Arabidopsis thaliana: one gene and its partners. The main gene of each other region encodes a partner of the protein of the gene in region 2 in a complex. Each region holds a gene or a part of one and is shown on either strand. Other genes may lie near its edges. A codon is read from its position in the direction of its gene.

The links. Proteins that work in one complex are often made in the same cells at the same time.
Region 1: the proteins of AT5G40810 (region 2) and AT5G13430 are in contact, whole or in part, in a cryo-EM structure (PDB 8BEL), measured with the Arabidopsis thaliana proteins. Residues at the interface, in NP_198897.1 of Arabidopsis thaliana: Arg115 (codon at 3,674), Lys152 (codon at 3,785), Ser154 (codon at 3,791), Met270 (codon at 4,906), Trp274 (codon at 4,918), Leu277 (codon at 4,927), Leu278 (codon at 4,930), Ala281 (codon at 4,939), Gln284 (codon at 4,948), Ala285 (codon at 4,951), Tyr287 (codon at 4,957), Tyr288 (codon at 4,960), Arg290 (codon at 4,966), Leu291 (codon at 4,969), Ser294 (codon at 4,978), Lys297 (codon at 4,987), Ser298 (codon at 4,990), Arg299 (codon at 4,993); in NP_568288.1 of Arabidopsis thaliana: Tyr93 (codon at 4,570), Asp94 (codon at 4,573), Asn97 (codon at 4,582), His98 (codon at 4,585), Phe111 (codon at 4,624), Ala112 (codon at 4,627), Val115 (codon at 4,636), Leu116 (codon at 4,639), Gly119 (codon at 4,648), Arg120 (codon at 4,651), Val122 (codon at 4,657), Tyr123 (codon at 4,660), Ser125 (codon at 4,666), Val126 (codon at 4,669), Leu129 (codon at 4,678), Lys133 (codon at 4,690), Lys142 (codon at 4,717), Asp143 (codon at 4,720), Ala146 (codon at 4,729), Leu147 (codon at 4,732), Leu150 (codon at 4,741).
Region 3: the proteins of AT5G40810 (region 2) and AT2G07727 are in contact, whole or in part, in a cryo-EM structure (PDB 8BEL), measured with the Arabidopsis thaliana proteins. Residues at the interface, in NP_198897.1 of Arabidopsis thaliana: Ile83 (codon at 3,470), Leu111 (codon at 3,662), Ile112 (codon at 3,665), Arg115 (codon at 3,674), Ser180 (codon at 3,869), Leu181 (codon at 3,872), Lys184 (codon at 3,881), Ala185 (codon at 3,966), Arg186 (codon at 3,969), His187 (codon at 3,972), Ala259 (codon at 4,398), Ala260 (codon at 4,401), Pro262 (codon at 4,407), Glu263 (codon at 4,410), Glu266 (codon at 4,419), Arg267 (codon at 4,422), Lys268 (codon at 4,425), Met270 (codon at 4,906), Gly271 (codon at 4,909), Phe272 (codon at 4,912), Ile275 (codon at 4,921), Leu278 (codon at 4,930), Ser279 (codon at 4,933), Ala281 (codon at 4,939), Leu282 (codon at 4,942), Ala285 (codon at 4,951), Ala286 (codon at 4,954), Tyr288 (codon at 4,960), Arg289 (codon at 4,963), Lys292 (codon at 4,972); in NP_178804.1 of Arabidopsis thaliana: Ser30 (codon at 4,413), Tyr34 (codon at 4,425), Phe68 (codon at 4,527), Asn69 (codon at 4,530), Glu72 (codon at 4,539), Met75 (codon at 4,548), Arg76 (codon at 4,551), Asp77 (codon at 4,554), Trp82 (codon at 4,569), Leu83 (codon at 4,572), Tyr86 (codon at 4,581), Asp223 (codon at 4,992), Ile225 (codon at 4,998), Pro229 (codon at 5,010), Tyr230 (codon at 5,013), Phe231 (codon at 5,016), Val233 (codon at 5,022), Lys234 (codon at 5,025), Leu236 (codon at 5,031), Val237 (codon at 5,034), Val240 (codon at 5,043), Ala241 (codon at 5,046), Ala243 (codon at 5,052), Ile244 (codon at 5,055), Ser247 (codon at 5,064), Ile248 (codon at 5,067), Ile250 (codon at 5,073), Phe251 (codon at 5,076), Tyr252 (codon at 5,079), Pro254 (codon at 5,085).

The regions. Positions count from the first base shown.
Region 1 is NC_003076.8:4,303,738-4,310,525, reverse strand, and holds AT5G13430 (Ubiquinol-cytochrome C reductase iron-sulfur subunit), read left to right. Parts: upstream 1-2,955; 5' UTR 2,956-3,126; coding exon 3,127-3,301; intron 3,302-4,468; coding exon 4,469-5,112; 3' UTR 5,113-5,420; downstream 5,421-6,788. Other genes in the region: AT5G13440 (Ubiquinol-cytochrome C reductase iron-sulfur subunit), read left to right, coding at 504-684, 1,452-2,095; TRA2 (Aldolase-type TIM barrel family protein), read left to right, coding at 6,314-6,489, 6,686-6,788. UniProt on the Arabidopsis thaliana protein: Component of the ubiquinol-cytochrome c oxidoreductase, a multisubunit transmembrane complex that is part of the mitochondrial electron transport chain which drives oxidative phosphorylation.
Region 2 is NC_003076.8:16,337,306-16,344,573, forward strand, and holds AT5G40810 (Cytochrome C1 family), read left to right. Parts: upstream 1-2,557; 5' UTR 2,558-2,697; intron 2,698-2,865; 5' UTR 2,866-2,894; coding exon 2,895-2,954; exon of another isoform or gene 2,955-3,283; coding exon 3,284-3,495; intron 3,496-3,603; coding exon 3,604-3,883; intron 3,884-3,965; coding exon 3,966-4,037; intron 4,038-4,127; coding exon 4,128-4,244; intron 4,245-4,364; coding exon 4,365-4,430; intron 4,431-4,905; coding exon 4,906-5,022; 3' UTR 5,023-5,622; downstream 5,623-7,268. Other genes in the region: ATR (Ataxia telangiectasia-mutated and RAD3-like protein), read right to left, coding at 6,555-6,704, 6,804-6,998, 7,088-7,268. UniProt on the Arabidopsis thaliana protein: Component of the ubiquinol-cytochrome c oxidoreductase, a multisubunit transmembrane complex that is part of the mitochondrial electron transport chain which drives oxidative phosphorylation.
Region 3 is NC_003071.7:3,446,538-3,454,144, forward strand, and holds AT2G07727 (cytochrome b), read left to right. Parts: upstream 1-2,996; 5' UTR 2,997-4,325; coding exon 4,326-5,507; 3' UTR 5,508-6,239; downstream 6,240-7,607. Other genes in the region: AT2G07724 (uncharacterized protein), read right to left, coding at 1-180; AT2G07725 (Ribosomal L5P family protein), read left to right, coding at 1,865-2,422; AT2G07728 (uncharacterized protein), read left to right, coding at 7,149-7,271, 7,574-7,607. UniProt on the Arabidopsis thaliana protein: Component of the ubiquinol-cytochrome c oxidoreductase, a multisubunit transmembrane complex that is part of the mitochondrial electron transport chain which drives oxidative phosphorylation.

The DNA of each region.
Region 1 (6,788 bases), about 12 Mb from region 2:
TGCTTGTGATGAATGCCACCAATTGACAAATAAATATGGACCCTCCTGGGAAACAATATAATAGCTGGCCACTTCTCTCCCTTTGAATTTTGTCATTTGCTTTTTACATATTGTTGTTTGCTTCGAAATAAAGCTTTTCGAGACATCAAATTTCAATGAGATTGTTTTTGTTTAGATTTGAATCGTTGGGCTAATTTGGTAAATAAATCTACAAACTATGCCCAAGTAGCTTATTCATACTCACGAATGAACATTAAGATGCCACGAAGCTACATAATTATCATGTTAGAACACCGTCATTGTTCTCTTCAGTATTAATAGTAAAAAAACCAAATTGACGATTTCTCGAAGACTATTAAAGGAATATCCGCAAAGAAGAAAAAAAAACATTTTTTTGGTAAAGGACTAATCTTTTTGTTTGCATCGGCCATCTCTAACCTTACGATTGTGTGTTCTTGCTTTGAGCGAAACCCTAGAATCGGTCTTAACCCATTTGAGCAGAGATGCTGCGAGTAGCAGGAAGGAGGCTTTTTTCTGTTTCGCAGAGATCATCGACGGCGACCTCCTTCGTCCTTTCCCGTGACCATACCCTTTCCGATGGAGGCAACTCCTCTTCCGCTTCTAGATCTGTCCCCTCTGCAGATCTCTCATCTTTCAATTCTTACCACCGGAGCGTTATAAGAGGTCTGCCGATCTACAACTCTTTCTGTCTCTCGATTGATTTTCATTTCTGGTGTTATCCATTGAATGATTCATAAATTTTTAAAAGTCACCTCTTTTGGGCTTGTATAAGTCCGGAAATGATTGAGATTCCTAGTTTCGTATCTGCGAGATGATCTATGGGAATTAAGTCATCTGTTTTGAATTCTTATGATGTGTATTAGAGCTTGATGTACCATTTCGTCTCATTCTTCTCCTTGCTGGAATAGTGATTGATCGGATATGAATTGACCAGCTTTGAGATAATCCTTTTTTGATGAGATAATCGATTTTGACATGTAGTTTATTCATTATTATGGAAATGGATGTTTTATCGTCTTTGGGCACATCATATAAGATACTTGCATCAGTAAACGAATCTGGAATTCCATATCTTTAACCAAAAGGGCTATGTTTGCAATCTTATCTTAGGAGTTTTCTTATGTTTTAAGCATTTATGATCATTGAAGTTCCTTCCTTGGATCTTGCGTTAGATAGATTAGTTTAGTTTTCACTGAATTTGATATCATGGTAGAAAATTGTTTGGATGACACCTTCTGTTATCTCTTGGAATCCGTTTTTATAATCTTATGTTATTCTATGCATTAATGTTAAATGTTTGCTAGTGTTATTCCTTTCTTCTGTGTTATCTCTTGAAAATATTTTTGCTTAATACTTGGTGTTGTTGAACACTTGACCAAGTATAAAGTTTGCCCTTGATGTGAAATATTAATGTTTCATGCTATTTTCAGGTTTTGCTTCTCAAGTCATTACTCAGGGAAATGAGATAGGTTTTGGTTCGGAAGTCCCAGCCACAGTCGAAGCTGTCAAAACACCTAACTCAAAGATTGTCTATGACGACCATAACCATGAGCGTTACCCACCTGGTGACCCTAGCAAGCGGGCATTCGCCTATTTTGTCTTGTCGGGTGGAAGGTTTGTTTATGCCTCTGTTCTCCGCCTGCTTGTTCTGAAGCTTATTGTGAGCATGTCTGCAAGTAAAGATGTCCTTGCCCTTGCATCCCTCGAGGTTGACCTAGGGAGCATAGAACCAGGAACTACCGTGACAGTCAAGTGGCGTGGAAAGCCCGTCTTCATCAGGCGAAGAACAGAAGATGACATCAAGCTGGCCAATAGTGTGGATGTTGGATCCCTGAGGGACCCACAAGAAGACTCGGTTAGAGTCAAGAATCCAGAATGGTTGATCGTGGTTGGAGTATGCACTCATTTGGGGTGCATCCCCTTGCCTAATGCTGGTGATTATGGTGGTTGGTTTTGTCCGTGTCACGGATCACATTACGATATATCTGGAAGAATTAGGAAAGGTCCTGCACCATACAACCTGGAAGTACCGACCTACAGCTTCTTGGAAGAGAATAAATTACTCATTGGTTAATGAATAAAGCACAACAGTCCGAGTGTCATGGTCTGGATGATCTTAAATCTGTTTTTGTTTTTATATTTTCCGGCATTTTAGCGTGCAAGTTCGCTTTCCTCACACTTTGGGCTCAGCAAAAATTGGCTTGTTTTGCTGAATAATACAAACTTGTCATTGTATGACTTAGTATCTGTCTCATCTGGTGAAAATACATTGTTCATACTTCATAGTCTCTGTTTATTATTTGAAAAGAGTTTTGAATAGTATCATCCCTATTTTTCTTATGTTTGTAATTTTGTAACATATCGTTTGTAAGAGAGTTTCCTTTCCTTAAAGTCTGTAGCCATTATCACAATTGAGACAAAAACTTGGTAAGGTTCAAGGTGTGTTATAAAACTTTCGTGTTCTTACTGGAGACGACATTTCGAAGACCTTCAATTCTCAACTAAGCCATAAACCTTCTCTTCCATAGTGAGAAATCCAATTGTGAACCTCGAGACTACTACTTTGATGAAAGATGTCATATTCTGGTTGTGGATCTTAGCCTAATTTTCTTGTTCAGATTGTTTTCATCGATGACTACTTCTTTGATGATGTCCTTCTAGCTCTTTCTTCTAGTATTGAAAAGTTCACACAGATGTAAAACAGTCTTTTTGTTGGAAATCTTGTTTAAACATTACAACAACAAAATATATCCTTTACCAAGTATAGACCCCCTATTATTATTATTAAAAATTACGATTTTTATACAAATAAAATAATTTATCTTACAAATACACACACACAAAAAAATTATATCGTAAAACCAAAAGATTTTATTAATTAAAATTAGAAAAAAAACCATGCCATCAAAATCCTGAAGTAAAAAAATATCAAGTAATACGCAAAAACCAAAAAAAACAAAACAAATTGACCTTTTCTCAAAGACAATTTTTAAGGGACTTACTAGTAAGTAGTCTCTTATGTTTTGTTTTGCATCGGCCGTCCCAAACCTGAGGATTTCTCTGTTCAGCTAGAGCGAAACCCTAGATTCACATTTGAGCTGAGAGATGCTGCGTGTAGCAGGGAGGAGGCTTTTCTCTGTCTCGCAGAGATCTTCGACTGCGACCTCCTTCGTCGTCTCCCGTGACCATACCCTTTCCGATGGTGGCGGCGACTCCTCTTCAGCTCCCAGATCCCTCCCCTCTGCAGATCTCTCATCTTACCACCGTAGCCTTATCAGAGGTTTGCCGATTTATAACCCTTTCCCTCTCTCTCTACATTGATTTTTCATTTTCGGTGGTTCTTTGCAGTTTTATTTGATTGATTGATTTTTGAAAAGGTCTTCTTTTTTTGGTTGTATGATTCACGGGAATGATTGAGATTTCTAGTATTGTATCTGCAATGATCCGTGGGAACAAACGTGTCATCTGATTTGAATTCCATGAGCTTGATGTACCATTTGGCTACATTCTTCTCCTTGCTGGATTTGTATTGCATTTGATGATTACTTCTTTCGTGTGGATTGTTCAGTTCTGAGATAATCCTTTGTTTTACTAGGAAAGTTTCCTCTTTTCGGTGCGTTAATCATAGTATGATTCACCACTGGCTTCTTGGTTTTTGAAATTTGATCTTGTGTATCAATCCTTTTGAGTTCTTCATTGTTAGGGACATGGATGTTTTAACTGTATACTATGTTTGTAGGATTTATAGCTGTTTAAAGGCATGCTGAGGAACTTGCATTCTGAAATTTATGTTTTCTTAACCAAAGAGCTTTGTTTGTTCTTAGCATTGGAAATTTTGTTGTGTTTTAAGCGTTTCTGTAATATACAGCATCTGATCAATATATTTTTTTCTCTTGGTTTATTACGTTGGTTTTAGTATTTAAGGTTTCACTGAATTTGTTATTATTGATTTGTTTGGATGAATTTGGTATACTTGGCTTCTCTGATTCATTCTTTCGTCCAGAAGGAAATGAACATTTGAGTTTATTGATGGATTATGGATTGACCTGTTTAGATGTAATTCTTTGGTTGATGACTAAAGCTCCTTGCTTGTAAATCATTGGAATGCGTTATCCATAGTGTGATTCACATTGGCTTCTAGATTCCAATTTTTTGTTCTTCTGTTTCCATGTTGATCATTGAATTTGTTCTCTTGTTTTTTTTATGGAGATTATCGTATTTAAGTTTCCACTCCCCGAGTTTGATACGATGGTTTGAATTGTTTGGATGGATCTCATACTTCATGGAATCCGTTTTATGTACTTTTGTTTTTCCTTAGAAGATTATACATCAATGGTCACATCTTGATTGTGGTAGTCCTGTGGCTTATTCTTATTCTTGTAGAACACTTGACCAAGTATAAAGTTTGCCTTTGATGTGAAATATTAATGTTTCATGCTATTTTCAGGCTTCTCTTCTCAAGTCCTTGCTCAAGGAAATGAGATAGGTTTTGGTTCAGAAGTCCCAGCCACAGTCGAAGCTGTCAAAACGCCTAACTCAAAGATTGTCTATGATGACCATAACCATGAGCGTTACCCACCTGGTGACCCTAGCAAGCGTGCATTCGCCTATTTTGTCTTGTCGGGTGGGAGGTTTGTTTATGCCTCTGTCCTCCGCCTGCTTGTTTTGAAGCTTATTGTGAGCATGTCTGCAAGTAAAGATGTCCTTGCCCTTGCATCCCTTGAGGTTGACCTAGGGAGCATAGAACCAGGAACTACCGTGACAGTCAAGTGGCGTGGAAAGCCCGTCTTCATCAGGCGAAGAACAGAAGATGACATCAAGCTGGCCAATAGTGTGGATGTTGGATCCCTGAGGGACCCACAAGAAGACTCGGTTAGGGTCAAGAATCCAGAATGGTTAGTGGTTGTTGGAGTGTGCACTCATTTGGGGTGCATCCCCTTGCCTAATGCTGGTGATTATGGTGGTTGGTTTTGTCCGTGTCACGGATCACATTACGATATATCTGGAAGAATTAGGAAAGGTCCTGCACCATACAACCTGGAAGTACCAACCTACAGCTTCCTGGAAGAGAATAAGTTACTCATCGGTTGATTAATAAAAGCACAACAGTCAAGAGTCTGGATCTGAATGATGATCTTCACTTGTTCTTTTTTTCTTTTAATTAATATTTTCCGGCATGTTAGAGCAAGATTGACTTGTTTTTGCTGAATAATACAAACTTGTGATTTTTGTTTGAAGTATACTCAATCTTCGTTTATCCATCGCTAGTAAAAGACGACTATGTTCATAGTCTGTGTTTATTATTTAACATGCCTATTTGTCCTATGTATGAGTGAGATTCCTTTCGTATCTCATAATTCTAAACATCGTCATTCCAATTAAAAAGTTGTATTTACATTTGAGTTTCGATAGTATCTCAACGTTCATAAAAGAAAAACTAAAGGTATGAGAAAAACCAACGTAGAAACAAACAACAAAAGGTAATATATCAGCTTTGATTGATAGTTTACAGGAAGATAACCGAATAAGTTCAAACTGTATTCGTAAGACATCCCGTGAATGAATATTCAATCATCCAAAAGTGGCATAGCTAGATTTTTTCTAGATTGGCTAAGAACACAAAAACATAATATTTTATTCTGTTTAATCTTTTTTAGTTAAGAAAAAATGTTTGACACACAAAAGCCAAAGTTTGATTTGGGTAAAAACCATTGTGGGAGATGAAAATGTTAAAATCTTGTTTGTTTTGGTCACCAACAACGGCCATGAACTATATGGGAAGTGACTTATCTCTTGTAAGTTGTTTTCCTTTTGGGATATGGGAAGTGACTTCTCCGACCCTTGCAAACTAACAACGGCCATTACACACTAATTACAAGCCAAAGGTCCTCACTAAGCAACCTCTCGTGTTTATCATAAGACACCGCTCTATCTCTTATTATTTTATTCATTGTTTTCTAATTTCAGACTGATTAATCATACATTAGAGAAAGTTTATTAAAACCATCTGATGTAAAAAATCACATTTATCTAAATTAAATAAATTTGTTATCTAGTATATAACTATTTATTGTTTTAACATTTGGATAAATTGTAAGAAATTAGAATGTAAAATAAGACAGAAAATGGTCAACTATGAGCATCTATCGCCATCATGATATAGTTTCGTCGTTTGCGTTCCCGACCTAACTCAAAACTTCACCAACCCCATTTTTAAGCCCCTTTCTTTGTTTTTATCCTCCGATCGATCAAACCAAGAAAAAACACTTTCGTATTTCCCTCGACGAAAAAAATGGCAACCATTTCGAATCTCGCTAATCTTCCCCGCGCCACCTGCGTCGACTCCAAATCTTCTTCCTCTTCCTCCGTCTTACCTAGATCCTTCGTCAATTTCCGCGCTTTGAATGCAAAGCTTTCCTCTTCTCAGCTTTCTCTTCGTTATAACCAACGATCAATACCTTCCCTCTCGTAAGTCTTTATATCCATTTGATGCATGTCTTTTGTCTCTGTTTCTCGCTCTTGGGGTTCACCAAAAATTGAATCTTTTTAGCTGGAAACGTACCACGAATCTCAAAGTAACATTTTTTATAAGATGGATTAGGAAAAGCAACTGTATTTCCCCTTTTTGGTTGGTAAAAGTCTGATTTTTTTGTTTAATTTGCAGTGTGAGGTGTTCAGTGTCTGGTGGAAATGGAACTGCTGGAAAGAGAACGACTCTTCATGATCTATATGAGAAGGAAGGTCAGAGTCCTTGGTATGATAATCTT
Region 2 (7,268 bases):
TGTATGGTCGAAGCCGATTAAAAAGCAGGCACACACAAACATTAAATTATACTATAGGCAATGTGACTTTATAACATATATCTCTCTCCACATAGGTCTATATGATAATTTAATTGGATGGTTATCCAAAGCACCCAAATAATTCTGGGAACTGCGATGTGTGATCTGATTGGCTTATTGCTCTTTATTAATATGAGATTTATAAGTATATGATAAAATTAGGTGTATGGGTCCCATGATCAGGCTAAAACAGCATCTGGTGTTTTTTACCACATTTCAAGACTCTTGTATGGTCCTTCTTTGTCCTCCCAACCAACCAAATTGCATGAAGTGTCCTCCATTTCAAAATTGAAAAAACTGGCATGTCAGGGCACATTTGGAAATATATACATGTGTATATATTGTGTCTCTATTTATGGAAGTGTAAAGCAATGACCCATAAGGTCTTCTCATTGTCCTATGGTCGGATCTATGTACTTATGTAGCTCCGGTTCTAGGGATGTGCTCTCATTCTATAGCTAAAGTCATCTTGGTGTGGTTTTGGGTGTGTTAATCATTTAGGTTCGGTTAGAACATTTCACGGAATAAACCTATCATTTGCATTTGATATCTATGAAAAACATTTCACGGAATAAACCTATCATACGTATCTTTCATTACCTTTACATAATACATCACACAAAAGCATAAGTATTCTTTCACCTTGTCATTTTTTTTTGGGATAAATTCTATCGGTAAAAACATACTGAAATACGCTAGAGTGGATTCTTTTCACTTGTCATAAAACCCAATAAAAATCATATTTATTATTTTATTATTATTTAAGTTCGTTTCTTAACATAATACATTACCACTATCTAATACCTCATATAAAATTAGATTTAAAATCCTATAAACACACACTAAATTCTGAAAGAAATAATGTTAGGTTGTTTAATTTCTTTTTTTTGTTTGTCAAATCAGATATATTGATATAAAACAAGGTTACAAAATATATAAACATTATAATACAATTATTATACGCAAATACAAAAATTTGATACAATTTTGATAAAGGAGTGAAAGTAACCCGACATTACAAGCAAATAGGCGTTGGTCATGATACATAAATATTTTTTAATTATAAGAAAATTACTATTATTTTAAAATCACAAATTTTAAACTGTATATTTTCTTAATTAGGCACTGATGAACAATTCGTGATACAATGTGGAAACATGTCTCAAATCGAAACCCTTATTTGATATGTTATTAAGATACCTGCTGGGGAGGTGCCTCATCCCAAAATAAACTAAATTAATTAACATTCATTTAGGTAGAAAAATTACTATAATGACATACTTAATCATATAATTATACTTTTCCTTCATACCACCAATAAAAGCAGATCGCTATCTAGCTCTTAGACAAGATAATAGCATAGCTTTTAATTTTGATAAAGCTGAATGGTCCTTGTAGATAAAGTTAAGAGAAGAATATGTTTTTTTTTTTACAAAGGCTTGTTTTCATTCATTCACATAAAAACAAGTACAAGAAGGAGTGATTCAAAGATCACAAAGTTTAAAACATAATTAAAGGAGGTATTCCCCAAAGCCAAAACATAATAGAGGCATTTCTCTAAGACACGAAAGGAAATGCATAGCATTCAAACCGACTCATATTAAATCATCTCTCATAAATGAAAAACTACTTCCACTTGAGACACTAAAGGACTCACCAATCAACATATTAAGAAAGTTACTGTTTCGTGGCTTGAAAATATGTAGAAAAGCTTCCAGGACGATGTCTCATTCATTAATTTTCTGATGATTCCAAATTCGTTTTCCGAACCACAACTTATGATTGCAAAAACCTAATGATTCGGCTTGAGTTGAGTCATGATGAGAATTTCTCCTGCTTAATTAAAATTCTGTTTTTAGGTATAAGAGATTCTATTCAGCAAAGATATTCAAGATGAGTAACAGATATTAAACATACCATGAACATTCACAAACCTGTGGGAATTAATATATGAACTTACCTAGCAAAAGCGAACATGTAATTTCTCATTTACATTTTCCCGTACTATGTAAAATTGAAACACATTTTCAAGTTTAAGGAAGATTATAATTTTGGAGTCGATGTAGTATCCCGAGAGCATACGAAACATATGTTGTATTTTCAAATTTGCGCCTCTCGATATTGAACTACAATAATGCATGTTAGATTCAAAGCAGCCTCGCTTTGGACCCTATAAAATGAGTTAATGCAAGCCATAATAATTTATCGATCGACATATTTACTAAACAAGCCAGAATGTGATCTCGATCTCAGCCTGTGTTAATCTTTTTGTAATTGAACATTCTGGACTAATGAACTCTTCACTATTGAAAAAAACAACAACACATAGATCATTTACACAAAGTCTCCCTTTACTAAATTTCAAGATTTGGTCCATTTATTCCAATGAGAAATATTCCAGATATTTTTTTTGGCTGTTGACTGTACGGATAGGCCCTTAATGGGCTTTTAATGGATTAAATTAGGCCCATGATACTTGAAAAATCTGAAAGGTGTTGTTGTGTTGTGTGTGACAGTCCAGTCGCGTCATCCGGAGACATCCATTTTCTCTGGTAGCTGTTTACTTCTTCTTCTTCTTCTTCTTCTTCTTCCTCCTCCTCTGTTCGTCAATCGCCGATCTCGTTGCTTCATTTTCCTGTGAGTATTTTCTCGATTCGACACATCTCATATCCGAATCTGCCATTTCTTCATTCAATTTTGTTTATTTGTTGGAACTTCGGATCTATATAGAGAATCGAGTTTTCTAGGGCTTACTCATTGTTTCGGGTATATGTAATGGCTGAGAATCTTCTCTGTTTGTATCAGTGAGATCGATTGGTACAAGTGTTCATCCAATGGTTGGAGGAGGAGTTATCCGGCAGCTTCTTAGAAGGAAACTTCATTCCCAATCAGTCGTGAGCTTTTTCCCTGTTACATCTTTTTGATTTTCTGCTGTAGCTTAGGATCTGTTTGAAGATAGAATCATATGATTTGTTTTGGTTCTGTCTACACCTTCATTGCTCTGAGAGATTGTCCTTGAAGAATTGTAACTGGAATTGTTGTGGCGTTGGAGATTTTGGGATATAAGAAACTTAGACTTATTGATTTGTGCTTCGAGAGTATGATTAATATTCGATTTCTTTTCAGAAAAAGTAGTCTTTTGATTTGTTGAGCATACACCTTCTTGTGTCTTGGCCTTTTTTTTTGTTTTCTTACTGTTGTTCTGTATTATCTACCACCATAGGCAACTCCGGTATTGTCATGGTTGTCTTCGAAGAAAGCGAATGAAGATGCTGGGTCTGCTGGTTTAAGAGCATTTGCTCTCATGGGTGCTGGTATTACCGGATTATTGAGTTTTTCTACTGTTGCATCTGCTGATGAGGCTGAACATGGTCTGGAGTGTCCTAACTACCCTTGGCCACATGAGGGCATTCTCAGCTCATATGACCATGCTTCGTGAGTGTTCAAGCTACAATTCAATCATCATAGTGAAATTGCAACACTAAAGTTGAAAATTAGAGAAATTTGAGACTGCTTTACTGACGGTTGATTTGTAATGAGCAGGATCCGTCGTGGTCACCAAGTTTATCAGCAAGTTTGTGCGTCTTGCCATTCGATGTCTCTGATCTCATACCGAGACTTGGTGGGTGTTGCCTACACAGAGGAAGAGGCGAAGGCCATGGCAGCTGAAATCGAGGTTGTTGATGGACCAAATGATGAGGGTGAGATGTTCACCCGACCTGGTAAACTCAGTGATCGGCTTCCTGAACCATACTCAAATGAATCGGCTGCTAGGTTCGCCAATGGAGGAGCGTATCCACCGGATCTAAGTCTTGTAACTAAGGTTTGGTGCTCTTTCTCTCCATTTGTATACAATTAGAAAATTCATCTACTATGATCTAAGCAATTTGGCTATTTTCTTCCAGGCACGTCACAATGGCCAAAATTATGTCTTTGCTCTGTTGACTGGTTATCGTGATCCTCCTGCTGGAATTTCGGTAAATTTCTCTCCTATTTTTGCTTTAGACTTGTTATTACAACTTCAAATTGTTGGAAGTTAGAAATAATCCTGTGACTAACGGGTACAGATCAGAGAGGGGCTACACTACAATCCTTATTTCCCTGGTGGAGCAATCGCTATGCCAAAAATGCTCAACGATGAAGCTGTGGAATATGAAGATGGAACTCCTGCAACAGAAGCACAGGTTAGTTTTCCTCTGCTTAAGAAAATAATTTGCAGACCATAAAGTTTTATCAGATTTGACCTTTCCTCTGAGTCAATTATATAATCTTTAATTTTTCTTTTTTTAAAAAACATGATGCAGATGGGTAAAGATGTTGTATCCTTCTTGTCCTGGGCAGCTGAACCAGAGATGGAAGAGAGGAAATTGGTAAGTTTCTTAGTTTCATATATTCCATGTTTTAAGCTGTCGTTTCCATATGTACGAGATTGCAATAGGAATATCAATCTGGATTCTGATTATTTGATTTTCAGATTCAGTTTGAGAAAATTGTTACCAAACTTAAACCGGCATAGTATAGATTGGTTTTGGATGTAGAAAAAGTATCGCCATTTTATCCGTGTTAAGATTTCCTTGGTTCTGTCTTCTGTATAGCGGGATGAACACACCTAGTTGCATAGTTGTGTTGAACACACCTAGTTGCATAGTTGTGTTGACCACACTACTGCTTGTTTCTTGAGGCTGCTAATCTCAGACCAAAACTATTATCAAACATGAACCGTATTGTTACTCTGTATTCAAAACCGTCATGTTGGTTCTAAACCGACCCAAAAAAACCCGCTATACCGAGAATCCAACTCTTTGTGCTTAGATATCTGTTAACGTTGGTTGTATGTGTGTGCAGATGGGGTTCAAATGGATATTCTTACTGTCTTTGGCTCTGCTTCAAGCTGCGTATTACAGGAGACTGAAATGGTCAGTACTCAAATCCCGTAAGCTTGTTCTCGACGTTGTTAACTAATCCCGTGAAGATCACCTTTTCTCTGGGTAATAATCATTAATCTTGAAAGGGATAAATGGTGAATCCCACTTTTTGTCTCAAAAGACATGTTTCTTTGTTTATTGTTTAGAAAGTCTAATGAGGCAAAGAAGTAAAGCTTTTTTAACCTCAAGTCACACATGATTTTGAGATTATATTATTTCTTTTTGGTTTGTTGTCTCCTAAACCGGACTCGGTTTGTCTTAATAAAAATGTGGTTTTACAATCTCTCTCCTATTTGTATATCACAAAACATGATTTTGTAACTATTAAAGTTAAAAAGTTAAAATCTGTGGTCTATTTCTGATAGACCAAAACTCCACAGAACAACCAATTTACCTCTGTTGCGAACTCGATTTTGTAAAACTTAGAAAAATGTAGGCAGGATTTAGACCCGTTAATGTAAAACCAGTTCCGTTAAGACATTACCAAACAAAATTGCACAATCCTACAGACAATGAAACAAACATGCAGGATCGGACAAAACCTCAAAATACAAGTCCACACTTTTAATTGTCCCTTGGAATCAATATTTATAAAAATGTAATGAGCTCAAATTTTTATAACCTATGAAAAGATCAAAATCTTGATTAAAAAGAAGAAAAAAACCAATCAAATCCTGGCAGGCTTCTGCAGAACAGCCGAGAGAAAAACCTCAGCATCAGTTTTCTCTCCAACAACCCATTTCAACTTCTTATACCCAAACCTCTCTATCAAACGCGTAAGAACTCTCTTCTTCTCATCATTACCGCAATAGAAATTGTCTAACTAGAACAATCCACCGGGTTTCAAGATCCGATCAAGATCAAACATCAAGAACTCTAGCTTCTCGGGTTTACTACTAACCGCTAAATCCAATCCGTTAGAAGCATGAATGAGATCAAAAACATTGTCATAGAACGGGAATCTCTAATCCAAACTCCCTCTGAACAACGGAAAAATCCCTCTTGTAGCTATGAATTCGCTGAAAGGAGCATCTATATTTAATGTAATACCGATAATATTCAGATTCTTTTCAGCCATTCTAGCAGCAAACGTGCCTGATCCGCTGCTAATATCGAATCCGATTCGGATTTTCCCATCGCCTAAACCCAAACATCATCTATCAGGAAATCAGTCTTCACTTTAACCTTAACAAACCTATCTTTCTCATGACCAGAGCTAGATCAAAGCAACCAACAAAATCCCGGCTCAGTTAAGACCTTTCAAGCATTCAAAACTTTTGCAGCCAAGACCGCTCCAGTTAACACTATTGTTACTGACCGTTCTCCACAAAGAATCATGAAACAGTGCGAGACCTGGCTTATGTACTGTTTTAGCTTCAACTTCTACAGGAAGTTTGTGCACAAGGAGCCTATGATACAAGTAACATCTGCATGTCAAAAAGATTTGTAGCCACCCATGTTTTCATAGGATAGTGTTATCTGCATGTCAACTTACTGTATTAACATAAATGGCATTATGAAAACTGGTGTAGTGTGAACTTAACAACAGCTGGTGTTCAGAGATTTTCATCAGAACCAGGGCATCCACCAGATGTACATCTTCCCAAGATTCTCAAGTGAGACTGCATCGGCAATCAACCGGCGAGCCTGACCTTCTACCGGTAGCGGAACACCAACAACCACGCCCTGCAGCCGGGCTTCAATGCTGCTTATGGCCCGCTGTAATTGCCAAATCATGTGGTTGTCTCAAGCAATTAGAAAAAAAAGAAAGGGTAAATGAACTGACATGAAAGAGAATCATTAAATGATTATGCAAACCTGAGCATGTGGGTTCTGAACTTCTACTCCGCTTGATTTGTGTGACTTTGTCCACTCCACAAGAGGATCATGGATGAATGTCTCCAGGATGCTCATCAACGTCTCCCTATGTGTCCTCAACACTGTGAGAGTGATTTCACATACCCTCATGAAGATGCCCTCATATCCAGTGATGCCCAAACCATCAATCATGTTCTGTGGTTTGGAAAATAACAATTCACTATTATGACAAACGAAAACAAAATACCAACAGAACACAAACAAACGATTTTGCAGTTTCTTGCCTGGGTCAATCTGAATGGCACCAACTCAGGCTTCTCCAGTTGTAAGCCTTTGTCAAATAAGCAACTGAAGTCTACATGAACACAATCACCCGAAGTAGAATCAAAGAGAATATTTTCTCCATGACGGTCACCAAGCCCAACAATGTGCCCAACCATGGACCAAACTGCTGTGGTGTGAGCA
Region 3 (7,607 bases), on a different chromosome or scaffold from region 2:
GAGAGGGAAAGAAAGACCAATCCGTATCTTTGAAAGAAAAAGATTCTCAGAAACGCTACCACCGAACATCGACTTACTCGGCATCTTCGGATTCAAGCATTTCATTCGTTCGTTGGCGCAAAAGCCTCGTTTGGCGGGAAAGCATTCATTCGTTTGCGGGAAAGCAAAAGCGTTCAGCATTGACTTCCTAAAGCGACTTCTTAGCGTGCTTCAACAGCGCCCAGATAATGCCTTGACCGGAGCCGGAGGGAGACCTAAACAGAAGAACGACCTCGCAGTGGCAACATAGCCCATCCTCAACTCATACCTCAGATTTTGAACCATACTTTGAGTCCTCAAACTTTGAGATGGACTGGACCAACACTCTTCTTTGAGATGGAATTCCCACCACTCTTATTTGACATGAACTGTAACGCTACTCTTTCAAAGATACCTAACAACCTTAGCTGGCATTGATCACTCTTCCTTCCCAATCCCTCCATTTAGAATTGCAAACATCCCAACTTCCAGAGCTACCTATGAGCCAAGGGCGGAGGGAGATATATTAGACTGATCAACTTCAAACAAAACGACCTTCCTGGACTCGCTTTCATCTCCTTCTTTGAAACGACTCAAATAATTGAGTGGGCATTGGGAGCCTTATTTAATGGTGGATTCCTGAGCTATGAATGTCTCTGAAATCGTGATGTCAAAAAGGAATGATATGCGATTATTAACTTGCTTCCTTCCCTCTAATTTTCATGCAGTAGTTGAATTTTTGCACTCTTACCTGGATGCGATTTTCCGCCTTGAATAGATGGAGGTGTTTTCCACCTTGAATTGAGAATTTTTGCATGCTCGATGGGATTTCTGCCTTGAATTATGATACATTTATTATGAATTTTTGCATGCTCGATCTGATTTCCTTCGCTGTATGGGAGTGCATAGGCCTATTCTAGCATGGGGTTTCTCGGGGTAAGGCTTGTGCTTTTCCTTCCATATAAGACTAGCTATGTGCTCCCTCGGTACGCCTGTATTCCTTTCGTGGATTGGAACCTACGTACTGTTGTATTGTAGCGTGATGTTTTCCCACTGCTTTCTGGCTTGACTCACATAAAGTACGTGCGTAACTGGCACTATCATGTAGGTGCGAAATCTGTCTTCTCCTATGTCTTGTTCTCCCAGTTTGATTCCTATGTTTCGAAGTCCAGCTAATTAGTGAAGGAAAGTGGTATGGATGTTTGGAGCTCAATCCATCGAATTCACTCGCTTCTTTGCGCTGCGTTGTAGCTCTTAGATTATTGGGAGGAGGTCATTTCGAATGTTTTGTAATTTGGAATCGTTTTTTCTTCAAGGCACGGCTTCTTGAATCGTCTTTGTCTTGTAGAATGGTTGTCATCTGGAATCTAACTAAATAGTTAGTTAAGAAGACGCGTGCTTTGTTTGGTTTTGATCTGGAATTTCACTATAAGATAAGATAAGAGTGAAGTGCTTTGTTTGGGCAATCTGCCTCCCTAAATCTAGTGGAGGTCCCGGTCCCGCCGCTCCTGTTTGTAATGGGGCCGCTTTGTGCCAAATGTGTAAGTTGTTTTTTCAATCCGTTCTAACTGTAATAAGAGAAGAGGGAAGTCCGTCTAAAGAAATTAGTGAAGGAAAGTTATATGGATGTTCATTAGTTCAGTAAAGTGTTAGTAATGTTGCTGGGAGTAACCCTTTGATCTGATCTGTCTTTGTACGTGTTATCTTGCGAGGCTGTCAGGTTGGCTTGTGAGGATGGGGAGAAAGCGGGCCGAGAATCTTATGTCAAAAGGACCAAGGATGATCTTTTCGGAAAGGAGGAGTAGGAGGAGTCAGCTTATTCTATAGATACTGTAAAAGCCAACTCATGTTTCCACTCAATTTTCATTACGAAGATGTATCACGTCAAGATCCGTTGCTCAAACCGAATCACGCCAACGTTATGGAAGTTCCTGGATCGTGTGAAATAAGAGTAGTACCAAAGGCACCCTATAATTTCATAATAAAAAATGGAAAATTGGCTATGGAGATTCCGCGCGGTCAGAAATTCATACAGACACAAAGGGGTTCGACAGGAAAGTCCTTTCGATCTAATCCATTCTTGGGGTCAAATAAAGACAAAGGATATGTAAGTGACCTAGCACGACAAAGCACTCTCCGAGGGCATGGAATGTCTAATTTTTCGGTCAGAATCTCGACAGTAATGTCTCTATTAGATTTTCCGGTCGAAATACGGAAAAACTCCATTCAATTCTCGATGGAAACGGAGTTTTGCGAATTCTCCCCGGAACTGGAAGATCATTTCGAGATCTTCGAACATATTCGGGGGTTCAATGTGACTATTATCACTTCGGCCAACACACAAGATGAGACTTTACCACTGTGGAGCGGTTTTTTGCAAAAAGATGAGGGGGAAACTCAGTAAGATGTCGTAGAAGCAAAATAGTAGAGATCACAAACGTAGATTGCTCGCGGCTAAATTTGAATTGAGACGAAAGCTTTATAAAGCCTTTTGTAAAGATCCCGATCTTCCTAGTGATATGCGGGACAAACATTGTTATAAGTTGTCCAAGTTGCCAAGAAATAGTTCCTTTGCACGAGTCAGAAACCGATGTATTTCCACGGTCGCCCTCGTTCTGTATCTGAGTTCTTTCGAATTTCTCGTATCGTTTTTCGTGGATTAGCATCTCGAGGTTCTTTGATGGGCATAAATAAATCGTCTTGGTAGCAACCACCAAACCAATAGAACAAAGAAAGGTTAGCTCCGCAGCTGGTCCACAAGCAAGGTAAGTAAGCCCATTACCAGCCGGCTCCGGACCGAAAAGTAACGTATTTAAAACCCTTATCTTGGATCGGAGATGCGAACGGGGCGGGAATCGAAGTGGGGGACCTCTCTACCGCTTGTGTCTATTTCCTGTCAAGTATGCTCCCCATACATAGACTACGTACAGGTAGTACTCTTGGAAAGAAAGATATAATGCATGAACATAACATTAACTTACGAATGTAACTCCCGACCACTCTTCTAAATATACTAAGGCGGAGAACTCTTGTTCATTGGAGCGCCGTAGTGCGGAGGTTCTTCCCATCATGGAAGTCCGAGTTGGGACTGAGCCTTCCGAATGATAATGCTTTGTTTCGTTGGAAAAACCAACGCAAATCTCATATTGACTTTCTATCGCCCTACTTCTAAGGATAGATAGAGAGAGTTACTTTATGAAATTATCTCCCTTCTAAAGCAGCGCAAGTCGGCCCCCCCAGAACAAAGCCCCTACTCCCGAGAGGTATAAATGACTCGACTAAAAGGAGAGGTATTTATTACTCGAGCACTTGTTGCGAGAGGTCCAACGTAATTTATTACTCTTATAAAAGAGGGAACTCGACTGAAAGGAGAGGTTGTTTACATACTCGACTAAAAGGAGAGGTCCAAATGGACTTCTGTGAATTACAGTGATCCAGTCTCACGGATATGGAGCTTCGCCGGAGATGGCAGGGCAAAACCTGATGGACCTTTTTTTTTTTTTTCTCAAGAGGTGATTTCGAGAATCAACCAACCGACGAGACTAATTCGAGGATGTGTTAAAAGAGAGTCTAACCGCCAAGGCAAGTCCCATGGATAAGCCCCAGCCTCCCTCTCGTTTCACTCTCGTTCCTCTCCTTACAGTCGAGCTCCTTTGTTCCTTCGGACCTCTCGCCCAAATGAAATGGGATGAATCCAATCAATAAGCTTATTGATTGATTCAGAGCGCAGCGAAGCCAAATTCAATCAAGGCAAAGGGGGGCTTACTTTTCCTGACGCTGAGTCATCCTATTCAAATTTAGCTATGCTAATGTAACAGGAAAAGTTTTCACAGATGATATGGATCCCAAGAGATGAGCGAGAACCTCCAATTGCTTAAGGATCGCACTCCGCTATCCCGCTTGGTGGACGAGATCTTCTCTCGGGTCATCCATCCTGGGTTACTGAAGGGTTGTCCGACTGCTCGGTGACCGAATCAGAGAAGTTTTGACCGCTTTCTCTTCTCTCCAGCACTCTCGGACTGATCATCCAATCCATCTTGCTGCGACAAAGCAAGCTTAGGAATGAATCTAAGAAATTTAGGTCTCTGCCCGCTTGAAAGATTCTTCTTTCCTTTTCGGTGAAAGAGGGCAAAAGTGTGTAGGAGAAAGAATTCTAAAAACGTCGACGCTTAATTCGCCCCCTCCATCCTTCAAAAGTAAAAGAAAGGCTCAAATATCAATATTATATATATATTTGAGGATATTTTAGGGCCCTAGAACGCAAAAAAAAGGTGGGTGAACAAGAGTTGTCACGATAGGAAAGAGAAATGACTATAAGGAACCAACGATTCTCTCTTCTTAAACAACCTATATCCTCCACACTTAATCAGCATTTAGTAGATTATCCAACCCCGAGCAATCTTAGTTATTGGTGGGGGTTCGGTCCGTTAGCTGGTATTTGTTTAGTCATTCAGATAGTGACTGGCGTTTTTTTAGCTATGCATTACACACCTCATGTGGATTTAGCTTTCAACAGCGTAGAACACATTATGAGAGATGTTGAAGGGGGCTGGTTGCTCCGTTATATGCATGCTAATGGGGCAAGTATGTTTCTTATTGTGGTTTACCTTCATATTTTTCGTGGTCTATATCATGCGAGTTATAGCAGTCCTAGGGAATTTGTTTGGTGTCTTGGAGTTGTAATCTTCCTATTAATGATTGTGACAGCTTTTATAGGATATGTACTACCTTGGGGTCAGATGAGCTTTTGGGGAGCTACAGTAATTACAAGCTTAGCTAGCGCCATACCTGTAGTAGGAGATACCATAGTGACTTGGCTTTGGGGTGGTTTCTCCGTGGACAATGCCACCTTAAATCGTTTTTTTAGTCTTCATCATTTACTCCCCTTTATTTTAGTAGGCGCCAGTCTTCTTCATCTGGCCGCATTGCATCAATATGGATCAAATAATCCATTGGGTGTACATTCTGAGATGGATAAAATAGCTTTTTACCCTTATTTTTATGTCAAGGATCTAGTTGGTTGGGTAGCTTTTGCTATCTTTTTTTCTATTTGGATTTTTTATGCTCCTAATGTTTTGGGACATCCCGACAATTATATACCTGCTAATCCGATGTCCACCCCGCCTCATATTGTGCCGGAATGGTATTTCCTACCGATCCATGCCATTCTTCGTAGTATACCTGACAAAGCGGGAGGTGTAGCCGCAATAGCACCAGTTTTTATATGTCTCTTGGCTTTACCTTTTTTTAAAAGTATGTATGTGCGTAGTTCAAGTTTTCGACCGATTCACCAAGGAATGTTTTGGTTGCTTTTGGCGGATTGCTTACTACTAGGTTGGATCGGATGTCAACCTGTGGAGGCACCATTTGTTACTATTGGACAAATTTCTCCTTTGGTTTTCTTCTTGTTCTTTGCCATAACGCCCATTCTGGGACGAGTTGGAAGAGGAATTCCTAATTCTTACACGGATGAGACTGATCACACCTGATCAGTGAAAAATTCTGACACCAATCATTTACATATTACACCAAGAATTGACAAGCAGATAAGTTTTCTAGTTTGCTATGTTGATATAGCTTAGATAGGGAAAAGATAACTCCACTATAGAGTAGGGCTGTACTTCAAAAATCAAAAAGGGTCCCTCTCCCCCTTTTTTTATTAAAAAATCAAAAAAGAGGCCCCGCCCCCCAAGGCCTAAGGAAAAAACCTCTGATAAAGAAAGAAAAAATATAGAACTAACCTTTACACTATAACCATTAAGTCAAGTTATTAACAATCCTATACTAAGAGGAGAATTCGGATCAGCTCGGGCGGAAGAGGAGAGGCGAAGAAGAAGACAATAAGCACTCAGATTGGACCAACCTTTCATTTAAGGTTCGTCATTATCTTTTCAATCCTGACTAGAATCAGGCTTCTCTTGAAAAAAGGTAAGGAGTTATTCGATATAATATGGTATTAACCCTAGCGCCTAAGTCACCCCCGCAAGGTAGGAAGAAGATAAAGGAGAAAGTGAACGGAGGAAAAAAAGGCGATAAGCGAACCGGCGGGCGGTAAAAACCACAAAGAATTTATATAGAAAAATAGGTACTACCAATATGAAATTAAGAAAGACATATATACCTGAAACAAAATTCTGTAATGACTATGTGACCATGAAGGGAGTAGTTGATTCGCGTTCCAATTCATTGGCAAAATCCGGTATAAATATAATAATATAACGAGATCGTCGTCTTGACAAAGATGAATAGAAAGAGTGCTTTTTTTTTAATGGTAACAATTCTTATTGTTTTTTTTTCTTCGAAGGAAGATCTTTCTTTGACTAAAAAGGTTTCCATTTTTAATAGATTGTTTGTGGTTGTACCTTTACTGCAAGAATATAAATGACTCGCTATTCACTCGAGGTTTCTGGGTCATAATGTAGGAGAGATGGCCGAGTGGTTTAAGGCGTAGCATTGGAACTGCTATGTAGGCTTTTGTTTACCGAGGGTTCGAATCCCTCTCTTTCCGTACCTTTACCTAATTCACCAACGTTACCGACCGCGCAATACCAATCGAGACCTCTAAGACGAACTAAAGGGATGTCTCTAAGCAGCCAAGGCCAAGAGCAAGCAGGAGTGGTCCTATCCGCCCATTCATTTTTAAGTGACTTATAAGACGTGAGAGATACTCTAAAGTCATAACGGGGAAGGCCAGAGACTTCGTTCAAATGGGGGGAGGTTTTCTCTTCAATAAAATGAAAGGCAGGTATTTTTATACGAAAATTGAGAATTCAATAATAAATGTTCACTTGAGATTAGGTTCGCGAAGAAGAAGATCACAAATGAGATCTTGAGCTTGAAGCTTACTCTCCAGAATCGAAAGATCTCTTATCCCCGAGGCGAGGATGGCTTCATAAACTTTTTTTGCCGAAGGAAAGATAGATAAGGGGTTTCATCCATATTTTTCTCCCATTTACGTATCACGTTCAGAGATTTTAATTAGTTGTCCGCTCTTTCCGTACCTTTACTTACCGACCAAATACCAAGACTACTTACAACAGGTGGTGAGGATCAGCACACTGCGGGAATCTAAGGAATTGATTGCTGTGCATCGACCAATCTCAGAAAGGGAACTATAAAAGAAGGTGAAGATGCACCGAGGCATTTATGAAGACGCATGGTATGCTGTGGAGAAAGGGGTGAAAGGAGTAGAAGCGGCAGGGCAAGAAAAGGATAGTGATAAATGGACAGACGCTGAGAAGAAGAAGTCGAAAGTATAACAGCAAAGCACTGTCAGCAATCGCAAGTGACACATTCAAGGGTGAATCATCCAAAGATGCTTGGGATATCCTACAGAAGGGTTGACAAGTGTAAAGAGATCTCGTATTGATATGCTGCTGGCTTCACGGAGGAAAGAGAGACCATTGAACAATTCATCTGTGCTTTGCCAATGCTGCTCAAAATGAAAGACAAAGACAAAAGTCAAAAAGCTTCTGTTCTGTAGCACACTCCCGGCGAAGCAGCCCTTCGCAAGCCATGAATGACATAGATACCCTTGCGTTTGATGTTGTTGTAGGTCACCTACAAGCGTATGAAATGGAGACTGAGAA